Linked DNA regions of Macaca fascicularis. The protein of the gene in region 1 purifies or fractionates together with the protein of each later gene. This does not show direct contact. Links are inferred from orthologs where the notes say so. Each region holds a gene or a part of one and is shown on either strand. Other genes may lie near its edges.

What was found. Proteins that work in one complex are often made in the same cells at the same time.
Region 2: the proteins of POLR2G (region 1) and MED26 purify together in Homo sapiens (affinity purification with mass spectrometry; 6 studies listed by BioGRID and IntAct, counting the BioPlex papers as one, with this or other methods). This does not show direct contact. The link is inferred for Macaca fascicularis from reciprocal best matches to the Homo sapiens genes POLR2G and MED26.

The regions. Positions count from the first base shown.
Region 1 is NC_088388.1:11,290,456-11,298,391, reverse strand, and holds the start of POLR2G (DNA-directed RNA polymerase II subunit RPB7), read left to right. Parts: upstream 1-3,757; 5' UTR 3,758-3,842; coding exon 3,843-4,111; intron 4,112-5,400; coding exon 5,401-5,560; intron 5,561-7,552; coding exon 7,553-7,603; intron 7,604-7,709; coding exon 7,710-7,775; intron 7,776-7,936. UniProt on the Homo sapiens protein: Core component of RNA polymerase II (Pol II), a DNA-dependent RNA polymerase which synthesizes mRNA precursors and many functional non-coding RNAs using the four ribonucleoside triphosphates as substrates.
Region 2 is NC_088393.1:16,959,793-16,967,880, reverse strand, and holds the start of MED26 (mediator of RNA polymerase II transcription subunit 26), read left to right. Parts: upstream 1-2,946; 5' UTR 2,947-3,203; coding exon 3,204-3,275; intron 3,276-8,088. UniProt on the Homo sapiens protein: Component of the Mediator complex, a coactivator involved in the regulated transcription of nearly all RNA polymerase II-dependent genes.

The DNA of each region.
Region 1 (7,936 bases):
TGACCCACACCTGTAGCTGGGGAATGCAATAAGCACTCCAGGCTGGCAGCCTGGGTGACAGAATGAGACCCTTTCTCAAGAAAAAAAAAGGGGGTGGTGCTGGGCGCAGTGGCTCAGGCCTGTAATCCCAGCATTTTGGGAGGCTGAGGTGGGTGGATTACCTAAGGTCAGAAGTTTGAGACCAGCCTGGCCAACATGGTGAAACCCCGTCTCTACTAAAAAAAAAAAAAAAAAGAAAAAAAAAATTAGCTGGCCATGGTGGTGGGCACCTGTAATCCCAGCTACTTGGGAGGCTGAGGCAGGAGAATCACTTGAACCTGGGAGGCAGAGGTTGCAGCAAGCTGAGATCACGCCACTGCACTCCAGCCTGGGCGACAGTGAGACTCTGACTCAAAAAAAAAAAAAAAAAAAAAAAAGAAAAGAAAGAAAGAAAGAAAAAAGAAAAAAAAAAAGGAACACAAGCTTTGGAGCAGGTCTGCTATTCATACCCAAATACCTCCCCTTAATCTCTTTCGGTCTCATTTACAAGGTCCAGCTCCAGAGGAATGGAGTCAGTGTTGTGAAGTAAGAAAGTTAATATTTCATTTATATAGGCGAAGGGGTGGCCAGCCCCTCCACACCTGTGGGTGTCAGGTGGAACCAGAGACTTGAGAAAATATAGAAGAGAGACAAAGTAGAGAGAAAGAAAAGTGGGTCCAGCGGCACTCAGCATACAGAGGAACCGCACTGGCACTGGTCTCTGAGTCCCTTCAGTATTTATGGATCATTATCTCTACCATCTCGGAGAGGGGGATGTGGCAGAACAATAGGGTAATAGTCAGGAGAGGGTCAGCAGGAAAACATGTGAACAAAGGTCTCTGTGTCATAAATAAGTTTAAGTAAAGGTGCTGTGCCGTGATGTGCACACACACAAACATCTCGGTGCAATAAAAAGCAGTATTGCCGCCAGCATGTCTCACCTCCAGCCCTAAGGCTGTTTTCTCCTATCTCAGTAAATAGAACATACAATGGGGTTTTACACGGAGACATTCTATTCTCATGGACATGCAGGAGACAGATGCCTTCCTCTTAACTACAAAGAGGCCTCCCTCTTTCACTAATCCTCCTCGGCACGGACCCTTTCCAGGTGTTGGGCTGAGAGACCATCAGGCCTTTCCCTTCCCAGGAGGCCATATCTCAGGCTATCACATGGGAAGAAAACTTGGACAATACCTGGCTTTCCTAGGCAGAGGTCCCTGTGGCCTTCCGCAGTGTATTGTGTCCCTGGGTACTTGAGATTAGAGAATGGTGATGACTTTTAACAAGCATACTGCCTTCAAGCACTTTTTTAACAAAGCACATCCTGCATAGCCCTAAATCCCTTAAACCTTGAGTCAACCCAGCACCTGTCTCTGCACATGTGCTGTACACATGGCTTGGGGCTAGGGTTGCAGATTAACAGCAAGTTGAGGCAGAAGAATTTCTCTTAGTACAGAACAAAATAGAGTCTCTTATGTCTACTTCTTTCTATATAGACACAGTAACAGTCTGATCTCTTTCCCCACATATAGGCAAGCACACAGGACTTTTTAGCAGGATTACATTTTTCATAGAAGATTGGTACATAGTTATAGTAATTTGGTTGGCTATAGACAATGTTTCTTTTTGGGAAAAGTACATGTAACTTTTTTTTTTTCAATGTTTTTTGATTTGGAGTCTGGCACTGTTGCCTGAGCTGGAGTGCAGTGGCACGATCTTGGCTCACTGCAACCTCCTCCTCCCAGGTTCAAGGGATTCTTCTGCCTCAGTCTCCCAAGTAGCTGGGATTACAGGCACCTGCCACCACGCCCGGCTAATTTTTTGTATTTTTTTTTTCTTTTTTTTTGAGACGAAGTCTCTCTCTGTGGCCCAGGCTGGAGTGCAGTGGCCAGATCTCAGATCACTGCAAGCTCCGCCTCCCGGGTTCACGCGGTTCTCCTGCCTCAGCCTCCCGAGTAGCTGGGACTACAGGCGCCCGCCACCTTGCCTGGCTATTTTTTTGTATTTTTTAGTAGAGACGGGGTTTCAACGTCTTAGCCAGGATGGTCTCGATCTCCTGACCTTGTGATCCACCCGTTTCGGCCTCCCAAAGTGCTGGGATTACAGGCTTGAGCCACCGCGCCCGGCCCCAATTTTTTGTATTTTTAGTAGAGATGGGGTTTCACTATGTTGGCCAGGCTGGTCTTGAACTTCTGACCTTGTGATTCACATGTAACTTTTTTTTTTTTTGAGAGGGAATCTTGCTCTGTCTCCCAGACTGGAGTGCAGTGGCACGATCTCGGCTCACTGCAACCTCTGCCTCCCGGGTTCAAGCAATTCTCCTGCCCCAGTCTCCCAAGTAGCCGGGATTACAGTCGTGAGCCATGGTGCCGGGGGTATGTAACATTTTTTTAACAGAGGATGAAATAGTCATGGATTTCCTGCACTCCAGCCTGGGTGACACAGCGAGACTCCCTCTCAAAAAAAAGAAAGTGAATTAATCTATAATCTGAGAACAGAAGTTGTAAACTATATGTGACTCACAGTCATATCTCTCTCGAGGCTTAAAATATTTTTTGGGATTGCAATAGCTTTTAAATTTTTTCTTTCTCTCTCTCTCTTTCTTTCGTTCTTTCTTAGTGTTGCTCTGTTGCCAGGCTGGAGTGCAGTGGCGCGATCTCAGCTCACCGCAGCCTCCGCCCCCCGGGTTCAAGCGATTTTCCTGCCTCAGCCTCCTGAGTAGCTGGGACTACAGGCACATGCCACCACGCCCGGCTAATTTTTTGTATTTTTAGTAGAGTCGAGGTTTCGCCGTGTTAGCAAGGATGGTCTCAATCTCCTGACCCCATGATCTGCCCGCCTCCGCCTTCCAAAGTGCTGGGATTACAGGCGTAAACCACTGCGCTCAGCCTAAATTTCATTATTTTCTGTAGTTTCCTGGCCTTTCGACTAAGGCTCATGTAAATTTTTTGTTATTTCTACACCAATTTCTGTAGATTATTATGAGAATTAAGGGAGATAATTATATAAAGGGCTTAACACAGTGTCTGGCATTTAGGAAGAAAGCAGTAAGTGGTAGCTATTATTTATTATTATTTTTTGTGATGGAGTTTCGCTTTTGTTGCCCAGGCTGGAGTGCAGTGGCCTCCCAGGTTCAAGCAATTCAGAGAGTTGCTGGCCGGGCACAGTGGCTCACGCCTGTAATTCCAGCACTTTTGGAGGCCGAGGTGGGTGGATCACCTAAGGTTGGGAGTTTGAGACTAGCCTGACCAACATGGAGAAACCCCATCTCTACTAAAAACACAAAATTGGCCGGGCGCTGTGACTCACGCCTGTAATTCCAGCACTTTGGGAGGCTGAGGAGGGCGGATCACAAGGTCAGGATATCAAGACCAGCCTGGCTAACCCGGTGAAACCCCGTCACTACTAAAAATACAAAAAATTAGCCGGGCGCGGTGGTGGGCGCCTGTAGTCCCAACTACTGGGGAGGCTGAGGCAGGAGAATGGCCCGAACCCGGGAGGCGGAGCTTGCAGTGAGCCGAGATCGCGCCACTGCACTCCAGCCTGGGAGACGGAGCCAGATCCGTCTCAAAACAAAAAAAAGAGAGTTGTGGTTTGATGGCCGGTGGGGGGGCGGGGCGGTGGTGAGGGGCGGGGCTTAGTGGTTCACGCCCACGGCTACAAGGCCCAATCAGACCCGTGGAGCAGGTGGAGTTCCGCCCTCGCTGAGGAGGTGGAGTTCCGCTCTCAACGACGCAGCAGGCGCGGAACTGGGGTTGCGGCGGCTAAGTGTGTTTCCGGTAGATTCCCAGGGGCGGTCGGAGGTGTGGACTGTTCCTGCCTTCATGCTCTGGGAAGATGTTCTACCATGTGAGCAGGGCCCAGGGTGGCGGCAAGGGCTGGGTGGAAAGGAGGAGCAAGGCCAGGCGCCGGCGCGAGGCTCCCCTTGTCGTCTGATAAGCTCCCAGCGCGTGGCCTGGTCGCCATCCCTCTTTTCTCCGCAGATCTCCCTAGAGCACGAAATCCTGCTGCACCCGCGCTACTTCGGCCCCAACTTGCTCAACACGGTGAAGCAGAAGCTCTTCACCGAAGTGGAGGGGACCTGCACAGGGAAGTGAGTGCCGAGCTCACCGTGCCGCCAGATCGTTCGATGCGCACACGGGTCGCTATACCTGCAAACCCTCCGCAACTCCTATTTAGTCCTGCCACCCACTCTAGGGACCCCGCTCACCCTCTCAGGCAGCCAGTTGCTTCCTGCTTTGGGTTCCCAGGGCGCCCTCTGCAATGCTGGACAATAAGACTTCCTTCCCTCAGCTGAGATTGGTCATTCATTCATTTACTCCTCAGACATTTTAAAAACACTTGGTGTGTGCCAGGACCCGTGTTGGGCTCAGAACAAGGTAGAATGGGAACAAGATAGAATGAGGCCAGCTCTTGTGGAGCTCACAGTGTAGTCATTGTTCCTGTGTCTCCTCTCACTCTGTCATTCTGCTGGTTTTCTCTTATCCCCTGTGTCCAGGGACCACACACCGTGGGCCTCTATATATCTTCTGAATGGATGACCAGAAAAAGTGGATCGAAAGTTTGGGGGAGGAAGGAAGTAGACTGGGACTTGACCATCTCTGGGCTTTGCACTGAGGGCCTTCTGTGATATTAATGAGCTGGGACCCAGCCCAGGGCAGTGGAGTACTTGGGCCTCCAGCATCAGAAAAACCTGCAGGAACATGCAGATTCCTGAGCCTCCTTATTCCCTACAGAATCAAGACTCTGTGAGGCAGACCTGAGAATCTGCATTTTAAGAAGATGATTCTCAGGCATCCCGAAGATTGAGATCTGTTTCCTCAAGGACTCCAGCCTTCTTGTACATTTACTGTGAAATTACCAGAACAGCATTTGGTCTTATACATACTGATCTGTGTTCTTTTTTTTTTTTTTTTTTTTTTGAGACGGAGTCTCGCTCTGTGGCCCAGGCTGGAGTGCAGTGGCCTGATCTCAGCTCACCGCAAGCTCCGCCTCCCGGGTTCAGGCCATTCTCCTGCCTCAGCTTCCCGAGTAGCTGGGACTACAGGCGCCTGCCACCTCGCCTGGCTAGTTTTTTGTATTTTTTAGTAGAGACGGGGTTTCACCGGGTTAGCCAGGATGGTCTCGATCTCCTGACGTCGTGATCCGCCCGTCTCGGCCTCCCAAAGTGCTGGGATTACAGGCTTGAGCCACCGCGCCCAGCCCATACTGATCTGTGTTCTGTCTTCTCTTGGTCATTAAGCTCTCTGGGAGCAGAGGTGCTATCTACTTGTCCTTTTGCTCTCCCCGACACTACTCCCAAGAGCTCAGTGACTTTTATTGCAGATGTCTCTAGAGGCTCTTGGACACACAATGTCTTTCTGTTTCTCATCCTCCTTGCAGGTATGGCTTTGTAATTGCTGTCACCACCATTGACAATATTGGTGCTGGTGTGATCCAGCCAGGCCGAGGCTTTGTCCTTTATCCAGTTAAGTACAAGGCCATTGTTTTCCGGCCCTTTAAAGGGGAGGTCGTGGATGCTGTTGTAACTCAGGTCAACAAGGTGAGACCATACGTAGGGGAGGCATTGGGGTAGTCTCTCAGTAGATCTGGGTTGGGTCCTGGCTCCACTTCATAACTGTGCCTTCAGCTAAGTCACTTTACTTCTTTTTTTTTTTTTGAGACGGAGTGTTGCTCTGTCGCCCAGGCTGGAGTGCAGTGGTGCCATCTTGGCTCACTGAAACCTCTGCCTTCTGGGTTCCAGTGAGTCTCTTGCCTCGGCCTCCCAAGTAGTTGGGACTAAAGGCAGGTGCCACCATTGCCGGCTAAGTTTTTGTATTTTTTTAGTAGAGATAGGGTTTTGCCATGTTGCCCAGGCTGATCTCGAACTCCTGAGCTCAATCTGCCTTCCTCGGCCTCCCAAAGCGCTAGGATTACAGGTGTGAGCTACCACGCCTAGCCATCACTTTACTTCTTGTGCTGCACTTTCAAATTGTATGGTAATCTTCCCTGCCCAACTCAGAGGGCAAGAGTCAACATTAATAGTCATAACAATAAAAGCCTGTGTTGATTGAGTAGTGACTGTGGGCCAGGTGAAGTGCAGAGACTCACAATGACTAAAAGGTGGGTGCTTTCCTTTTTTTTTTTTTTTTAAGATGGAGTTTAGCTCTGTCGCCAGACTGGAGTGCAGTGGCACAATCTTGGCTCACTACAACCTCCGCCTCTGGGTTCAAGTGATTCTCCTGCCTCAGCCTCCCAGGTAGCTGGGACTATAGGCATGCGCCACCACGCTCAGCTAATTTTTGTATTTTTAGTAGAGATGAGGTTTCTCCATGTTGGTCAGGCTGGTCTCAAACTCCTGACCTCAGGTGATCTGCCTGCCTCAGCCACCGAAAGTGCTGGGATTGTAGGCGTGAGCCACTGCCCCCGGCCAGTGGGTGCTTTTTACAGAAGCTGAAGCTTAGAAGAAGTTAAGTGTATTGGCCAAGATCATGTGGCCAACAGGTGTTCAAATCTTGGACTAACAGGCCTAAGCTCTTTAATACTTTAAAATGAAAGGTTAGGCTGGGCATGGTGGCTCACATCTGTAATCCCAGCACTTTGGGAGGCTGAGGTGGGCAGATCACCTGAGGTTGGGAGTTCAAGACCAGCCTGGCCAATATGATGAAACCCTATCTCTACTAAAAATACAAAAATTAGCCAGGCATCGTGGCATGTGCATGTAGTCCCAGCTACTCGGGAGGCTGAGGCATGAGAATCACTTGAACGTGGGAGGTGGAGGTTGCAGTGAGTTGAAATTGCACCACTGCACTCCAGAGTGAACAACAGAGCGAGATTCTGTCTCAAAATAAATACATAAATAAATACAAATGAAAGCTTAAAAAAAAAGAGAAGAGGGCTGGGTGTGCTGGCTTACACCTATAATCCCAGTGCTTTGGGAGGCAGAAGTGGGAAGATTGCTTGAGCCTAGGAGTTTGAGACCAGCCTGGGCAACATAGCAAGACTCTGTCTCTACAAAAAGTTTTAAAAAATTAGCCTAGCATGGTGGTGTGCACCTGTGGTCTCAGCTACTTGGAAGGCTGAGGTGGGAGGATTGCTTGAGCCCAGGAATTCAAAGGTACAGTGAGCTGTGATTACACCACTGCTTTCCAACCTGGGCAACAGTGAGAACCTGTCTCAAAATTTAGAAAGCAAAAAACAAAAACACAACACTTGAGGGGACAAAGAAAAGCAAGATCACTCTTTTTTTTTTTTTGAGACGGAGTCTTGCTCTGTTGCCAGGCTGGAGTACAATGGCGAGATCTGGCTCACTGCAACCTCCGCCTCCCGGGTTCAAACGATTCTCCTGCCTCAGTCTCTTGAGTAGCTGGGATTACAGGTGCGCTACCACACCCAGCTAATTTTTGTATTTTTAGCAGAGACAAGGTTTCACCATGTTGGTCAGGCTGGTCTTGAACTTGTGACCTCATGATCCACCCGCCTCGGCCCCCCAAAGTGCTGGGATTATAGGCATAAGCCACCGTGCATGACCATAAGATCACTCATTTTTTTCTAGGTTGGACTCTTCACAGAAATTGGACCCATGTCTTGCTTCATCTCTCGACATGTAAGTCTAGGCACACTGGGTGGGGCTGAGGAAGAGAGATACCCATTCATTACCATCTACTGAAGCATCCTTTTAAAGTGCTACCCTAATCTCACTTTCCTTTCAGTCCATCCCTTCAGAGATGGAGTTTGATCCTAACTCCAACCCACCATGTTACAAGACAATGGATGAGGTAAGTGGACAGAAAGAAGTCAGGAAGAGGAAGAGAGAATCAGTCATCCTGAGGGAGAATATTGGCCTGAGGATGGCCGAGCACAGATGGTCCCTGAATTACCATGGCTTGATTCATGATTTTATGACTTTACGATGATGCGAAAGTGATGTGCATTCAAT
Region 2 (8,088 bases), on another chromosome or scaffold:
GGTGTGAGCCACTGCACCCAGCCCTTCCTCTCCCTTTCTCTTTGGGATTCCCCTCACTAACAGGTGAGGCAGCTTTTTCAAGGGCATTCCAAGCACAAAAGACCTTGTTGTACCTAAATACTATAAGGGACCTGTCATTGAGGACGAACCATCACAGCAAGAGTAGTTATCTTGTGCCGCATCTTTGCATAACTGACAGGATTCCTGGCAAGGATGTCTCAATGCAGAAAGTTGGCTAAGTGAACTGCAGTATCCACCCTGGACCTAAGAGAACTTGCTAATGTTTTCAAGACTGCTGTTCAGTGGTTATCTGATTCAATCTTTGCATTTACAAAAGCACCCTTTTACATATATTAAATGTGGAATAAAACTATCCGTGTGTGTTTTGTGTATCCTGGTGTATATAGTATTATATTTTATGAAGTATTTCATTCATTCTGGAAATAGCTGTTGAGACCCATGGTGTACCAGATCTGTAGAAACTGAAATGCATTCATGTGTCTGGGGGTGTGTGTAACACTACCGTGTATTTGATGAAACTTTCATTGACTTACTCCACAAATATTATTTTTCTGTCTACTGGGGATACCAAAAAGAGCCAGTGCCCTTGAGGAACTCAGTCATGTCAATGCTTCTTAGTTTTTAAAAAACAGGTAAGTTGAGTACTTTCCAATGTTTATTTTTCAAGACAGTCTTGCTCTGTCACCCAGGTTGGAGTACAGCGGCATGATCTCAGCTCACTGAAGCCTCTGCCTCCTGGGTTCAAACAATTCTTTTGCCTCAGCCTTCCAAGTAGCTGGGATTACAGGTGCCACCATGCCCGGCTAATTTTTGATTTTTTGGTAGAGAAGGGGTTTCACCATTCTGGCCACGCAGGTCTTGAACTCCTGACTGCAAGTGATCTGCCCACCTCGGCCTCCCAAAGTGCTGGGATTACAGGCATGAGCTACCAGGCATAAGCCACCATGGCTGGCCCCACATTTTGTTTGTTTTTGTTCATTTGAGACAGAGTCTGTTGCCCAGCCCGGAGTGCAGTGGTGCAATCTTGGCTCACTGCAACCTCTGCCTCCCGGGTTCAAGCAATTCTCCTGCCTCAGCCCCCTCTAGTAGCCAAGATTACAGGTGCGCGCCACCACGCCCAGCTAATTTTTGTATTTTTTGTAGAGATGGGGTTTCACCATGTTGGCCAGGCTAGTCTCGAACTCCTGAGCTCAAGTGATCCACCCGCGTCAGCCTGCTGAAGTGCAGGGATTACAGGCTTGAGCCACCACTCCCGCCCAAATGTTTCTTAAAATAACTTGACCCATGCAAAATAAATTGTCTCCTATGTAATCCTTTATTTAAAAAAAAAAAAAAAAAAAAGATACTGTACATCCGAGTTAGAAATTGAAAGGCAAGACCAGAATATGCCTGAGGAAGGCTTTGTTTATTTTGCTTATCAGAAATGAGATAAAGAATTATCTCCGAATGGGCCAGTTTCCAACTTGGACCATGTACACCATATACACAATGCTCCGCATTCTGGGAGGGGTGAGGTTGGGAGCAGTAAATGACAAGTGTTTTGCCCGTGTTTCTTTTCTCCTCCAAGTGGATGTAAAACTTTTCACATGTGCAGAAGCACGCAACTATAGCCACGTGCAGAAGCAGCCGTTTTTGCAAATGAAAACATTTCCCAGAAGCACAACAAATACAAGACTAACAGGTGCCAGGCAGCGCCAAGGCACACATGTGGTTCTCATCAGCCGTCTTCCTCCTGTTTTAAATCTAGGTCTTCCTGTAACAGTGGGGAAAAAAAAGATTTCTCCCGAGGCCGCCGAGCTTGCCTTTCCACCCCGTCTCACAACAGCATTTCCAACAGAGTTCCCAGAGAGAGGGGAGCAATTACAGAAGGCAATAAGTAGGGTGGAGGGAGGAGGGGCGCCCTTAAACTTGACACCTGCGGTTCTGGGCTTAACCCCGAAGTCTAGGTGACCTTGGGCCTCCGTTTCCTCCTGTGACGTGTTTGGTTAAGAGAATGAGCATCTCAGTTTTACAGCACCTCCAGGCAGAGGCGGGTAGAAGGGTCTTTCAATCACGGGGTTTTCTGCCGGTAGCGGGGCGGGGGGACTGTGCCCCAACAAGGGATGGCGGCAATGACTGCAGACTGGGGGAGGGGGCGCTTCTGAGGCCAGAAATGCCGCTCAACTTTCGACAGATCGCGGGACCCGCCCCAACGACAGAGCAATATCGCCCAAATGCCAGTGGCGCCGAGGTGGAGAAGCCGCGGCGTAGACGCAGATTTGCAACCTCCGGCTTTCCAGCGTTCCCAGCTACGGGGGGCGGCTTCTTTGCCGCCTCACGTTTTCGCGATCGGGGTCGCGCGTGGCGATGCAGACCCCCGCCCGTCACCACACCCATTCCCACACTCTCTAAGGGGCGGGGGCGGCCGCGGCGACACCCCTGGACTCCTCCGATGACCCTTCCGTGCGCAGAATCACAACGTGGACGTCTGCTTCCCTCGCCCTCACAAAAACTTCGGCAGCTGCTCAGCCTGCGACTCTCATCCCCCAGTCACGCGCCGGGAAGGCTCTCCTAGAGGAAGGATTTTCCCGCCGCCCTCCCTGCCCTGAGGTAGCCGCCGCGAGCGTCCGGGTTCAAGGACTCTTTGCGCGCGCGCTTCCGTCAGAAAGCCCCGCCCCGCGACCCGGGCGGGGGCGGGGTCTCCAGGCAGCGACCGTTGCCCCGCCCAACCTCCTCCCAACGGCTGCCTAGGCCGGGCGGCGGGGCGGGGCGGCACAGGCGGGTGAGTGCGCCTGCGCGCGCGTGCGCGGAGGCGCGGGGCGGGGCGCACGGGCAGCCCCGCCCATGCCTGGCGTCTCCGCCCGTCCCATCTCCCAACCTCCTCAGCGTGGCGCCGACGCTGCGTGCGGCGCGGACTACCCAGAGTACTCCGCGCGGGGGCAGCTCACTGGAGTTTGGTTCTCGAGGCGGCGGCAGCAAGCGGCGGCGGCTCCGGCGGCTCCTCCTCCTCCGGTGGCGGCGGCGGCCCGGGACCGAGACCCGGCCCCGGCTCCCCTCTCCGCCACCCCGCGCGCACCTAACCCTCCGGCGCCGCGGGGAACATGCGGCTCCGGCTCCCGGAGGCCGGCGAGTGAGTGACCCCCGTCCCCCGCCTCAGCCCGCCCGCCCGCTGGCCCGGCCGCAACCCCCGCCTCGCCCAGGCAATGACAGCGGCTCCGGCGTCTCCGCAGCAGATCAGGGACCGGCTGCTGCAGGCCATCGACCCCCAGAGCAACGTAAGTACCCGCCGCGCGAGCTGGGACGGAGGCCGCATGGGCCTGGGACCCTCCCCCTCTCCTGTCCCCCTCGCCCACCGGGCTTCGGGGGACCCGTCTGGCGCCCACCTCCCCTCGAGGGCCGCTGCCATCTCTGCCTCTCACTCCTCGGGCCCGGGCCGGGGGCAGGTCGGGCAGCCCGGCAGCGCTTGGTACGTGAGGCCGAGGCTTCCGTGCGGCCTGGGCGGAGGAAGCAGACGGGGGGCTAAGGGTAGAGTTTATCTCCCCTTTCTGCTCCAGCTCTATGACCCTCACTGCTCTGGACGAAGCTGCCCTGCATCGCCCTCCCTCCGGGACCTGAGACCCCCGGGAAGCCCTCCCGGAGCGGGGGAGGGGAGGGAGAAGGGCTGTGAAGCAACTGGTGTCCGGGGTATGACTCGGGGAGCCTGTGTCTCCCATGTCTTAGCCTTCTGGGTTATGAGAGAAGTCCTTCCCCCTCCTCCCGGCTGGCAGCACCTTCCTGGCTTCGGAGAGAACCCCCAGTGTGTTTTGCCCCTGGCCGGGTACCCAGGGTACGTGGAGAGTCTGTCTCCCTTCTGTGACTGGACACGCCTTCGCCAAAACCCTCTTGGGGTCGCTGCCAGCGACAGATGATTTCGGGGAGGGTGGGATCCTTCCTGTTGCCTTTCTGGGCCTCAGTACCCATTGCGTCTCTGACCAAGCCAGAGCTCCATTTTTTTGGGTAGTGAATTAAAGAGGACTTTTCTCTCCCGTTTACCCAAGAGCCCTGTTTCAGTAGGCTCTTTCCCTCACCTGGGGGTCTCAGCCTGGTGGCTATTGACCCAGACTGTCAGGGTTAACTCCAGGGTGTCGCTTCCTCGGGTGCCCCTTTGCTGAGGCTACTGTTGGCGGAGGGACCGCCCCTTCCCCCTCCGTATGTGTGGCTGTGTATCTGTGTGTGTGTATGTGTGTTGTTGCGGGGGTGGGGTGGGGGTGGGAAGACTGATCTATTCTCATATTTTCTCCAAGAGTTTCTTGGCAGTAGGGGTCATACTTCCCGCGGCAGGAGCAGGGCGGTGGGAAGATGCAGTAGCATCCAGGTATGAAGTGAGGCCCTGCTTCCCAGGAAGTGGCCATTGAGATCACTTTTTAATATGCTGTGAATGGAAGAAAAAAATCATCTTTGGCTTGGCCAGGTAACTCAGGTTTCTCTCACCGTAGGGGTTTTTACTTGTAGTTTTACATGAGCTTGGCTGATTACTCTTAGCAGTATGCTTAACTCTGATGATGTTTTTGGAATAATTCACGTTGACTTATACAATTTTTGGTAAGATTGAAGGGTTATGAGTTTTTTTCTAAGGCCCTGTTTTTGCTGTGATATAAGTACTTCTCTTATCCCTGGTATTCAGGTCCCATTAACATTGACTTGATGGTAATTGTCTTTAACAAATGTTATATTATACATTTTTGTTATGACTTTGGGGGTGGAGTGGGCACAAGCTATATAAAACCTTCTCGAATGTCCTTTTTGCAGTAACTGGTGCCACTGCAATTTTAAGATTGAAATATTAGAGGATAAAACTAGTGACATGAAAAAAATAGCCTTGGTGACTTGTACATCTTTTGTGGAGCCAGAAGGTAATTTTTTGAATTTCACGCACTCGCTTTCCTTCTGGAGAGTCTGAGAGGTTGCTGAGATATTAGCACTGATCCTTAATGCCACCTCAGAGAGCTTTGGGATCAGGCGGCACTTTGACAGGCGATCACAGTGTTGTAGATTAGGTCACTCCAGTGACCTCACAGTTTCCAGTATTGTGTAAGGCTCTAATCAAAAGGGTTCCTTGAGGCAGAAGAAAAGAGGACGGAACAAATCTTAGTTTTGTGTGTCTCAGCTCATGCAGAAATGTTATATAGGTCCCTGGTTATGTTACCTGACATGGAATTTGCATTTCATATCGCTTATTTTCAAGGACTTTGGTGATGATCTTGGGCAGAGTCCTACTAACATGGGGTGGATGGATTTGGGAAATTATCTTCTTGATTATGAGCAATGAGGAAAGTGCCTCCTTTGTGATTGATCCTCTGAGCGCTGTTATGGGCCGTTTGACAGGACCGTTCGCTTTGAGCAAACACCATGCAGAAACAGAGCTGCAGTGGACGGGGTTTGCTGGCGGAGGTGGTGGTGAGAGCTGGGCATGTCAGTGTGTCTGCAGTTTCTCTCGGATCAATGTGGGCTCAGGTGAGAGCAGGTGGCTCCAGCACAGGTGCTGCCGGTGTGCCGGTCTCTCCTCTCTGCCCTGCCCAATGATGAATTCCACTACTGGATATTTAGTTGACACATATTTAAGATGCTCGTGGAAAAAAAAAAAAAAAACGGGGACAGTGTTGAAGAGCCAACACTAAAATTAAACCTCTTCTGAGAGAAGCGGCAGAGAATTGTGTCATGTAATGCTTACCTTTATGGGCATGCAATTATGGTTAACAAACTTAGCTATTGCTTGCAAAATCAGTGTCAGGAACTGACCTAATATCCAAAAGTATCTGGAAAGTTAGGGAAGTGACGAAGTCGTGTTTACCAACCATCTCCTTGACAAAGAAATTCTTACGAGGAAAGTTGTTTCTGTGCTCTTTTAGCCCCTGGAGTATGCATTTGAATTCCTATAGCAGCAGGCTCAGAGTTAATAATTTCTGCCAATTCAGTAATAAAGTAAATCCTCTACTCTCCTTTTCAAAAGGCTACTAACGGTTTTTCAGAGCAGTCGGAGCTTTTCTTTTCGTTGTGCACCCTTTCAGCCCAGGGTGTTGAAAATCTCTCCGAAGCGCAGTGTGTGCATGATTGTTCCAGCTTACTCTCGCTGCATTGTGGGTAAAGTGAAGGACTGTGTCTTACTCTCGCACAGCAGTCGTAGTGAGCAGTCTCCTCAGCAGGTGATTCGGTTCCCATCTGCCTGGGACACTCTTTGTTTTGTGGAGGTACGAGCTTTATCTTCCTGTGCGGCACACAAGCTTCTTGGGATGTTTCATGTCTTGTCTTCTCCCTCTAGAGCAGAAGCATTTGGCACACTTTCTATCTGCTGCTTAAACTGACTGAACCCTAGCATCCATCTTGGACCTGTGCCTGAGGAGCTACATGTGAACCCCATTTTACTAGGAAGCCTTTGTAACTGCTTTATGCCCAAAAGTACAGTCGTGGAATATTCTAATGCAGAACTTTGGAGAGGGAAGGAGTCACAGGTGACTTGAGACGCTACTCAGTAGAACTGTGAGGAATATGGATGTTAAGTGATGATTAACAAACTTAGCTTTTAGAGGAAAGGTCCAACAGATAGTAGACGGTGTACTGCATCCTCATGACAAATAAAATAACAGCACAGGGCAGGGCTTGCTAACTGCAGGTGAATGTCCTGTGTTCAGAGCAGGGAGAGGCCTGAGAAGGTCCTGCAGCAAAGAGGGACTTGAACTAGCCCTGGCTGCTTGTGTCAGTGCCTCCAGCTGTCAGGCTCTGAGTGGGAAACGTCCTTGGGAGCTGCTTGCTTTCTTACAGCTCTTCAGGCAACAGAGACCAAGGGGGAGGTGACCAAGGCACGCTGCAGAGAGACCCAGCAAGAAAGATAATTTTCCCACCTAAGAATTGGAAGGTTGGATGTTGCTTACCTTGACTTTCCTGCAGATTTCTTGTCCACAGGGTGGGATTGGGAACGGGTGTATGCACCCCATAAACCTCCTTCCAGATCTAAGTTCAGATCCTGGAAGGGACAGCAGAGTCTAATGTCAATTGTTCTAGAAGGGTTTTTTGTTTTGTTTTGTTTTGTTTTTAATATATCTTTGCAAGGTACATTGTTTGAAGTTTCTCAGCTAACAAAATTCTAAACCAAGGTGTATGCTTTGTTAGTTTGTGTGGCACCCGTCAGAGAGTTCTGCTTCCTCCCAACAGCCTTGTGAGTGGGAGAGCCAGTCTCCCCTTTCGCAGGTGCAGAAGCCAGCAGCATCAGGTAGTAGGTGCTGCTCAGTGGTGTCTCCTGGGGCAAGCAGAGGACAAAATGCTTTTGTTTCTTACTGACTTAATGGGAGGTGGTGGAACCAAAGTTAGGGACTTACCCAGAGTCATTAAGTGACAGTCCTTAGAGTCCTTCCAACTCTGAACACCACCACGCTGTCTTGAAAGATGGAGAGATGGCTCCAGAAGAGGCACGAGGGGGCAGCGTTTTTGAGCTGATAAGAAAACTTGTGGGGATCCTGTAACGTCCCCTATGAGTTTATGTGAGATTACAGCCTGGGGCTGGATCTACCTATGTTAGATCTAACAGGGTGATGATATGAGACAGCCTGTCCCGTGAACATCTTAAGGTCTCTGTCACGGACAGAAACCTGGGCCAGACCACAGTGTGGCAACTAGCAACTAATATGGAACTTTTCATGAGTCTGTGTGACCAGTTTGCTCTCTACTTCAACATTACAGCACTTTTGATATTAACTTAAAATGCCATTTATTCTGCAGAAAAGCAGAATAGTATAAATTGCAAAATGAAGGACTTTTGATTCTGACCCTATCCAAAATAGGGGACCCTAAACCCAAACATGTAAATGCCCACTGCTCCACAATTGCCCAGATTCAGGGACTCTTCTGTCTTTACTCTTGTCTGTTGTGGCCAGGACACAGCAGAGGAGCAGCGTGGTGTTCTCTGACTTTGGGAAACAGAAAGGTAGCAAGTGTCACCTGTGACACAGGTGTATGTCCTTGTCTTTGACTCATTCTGTCCCTCAGGAGAAAGTGGACTTTACAGTCTGTCCTCACTGAGGTTTCTGTGTGGTCCTCAGACTGTGCTGTCCTGGT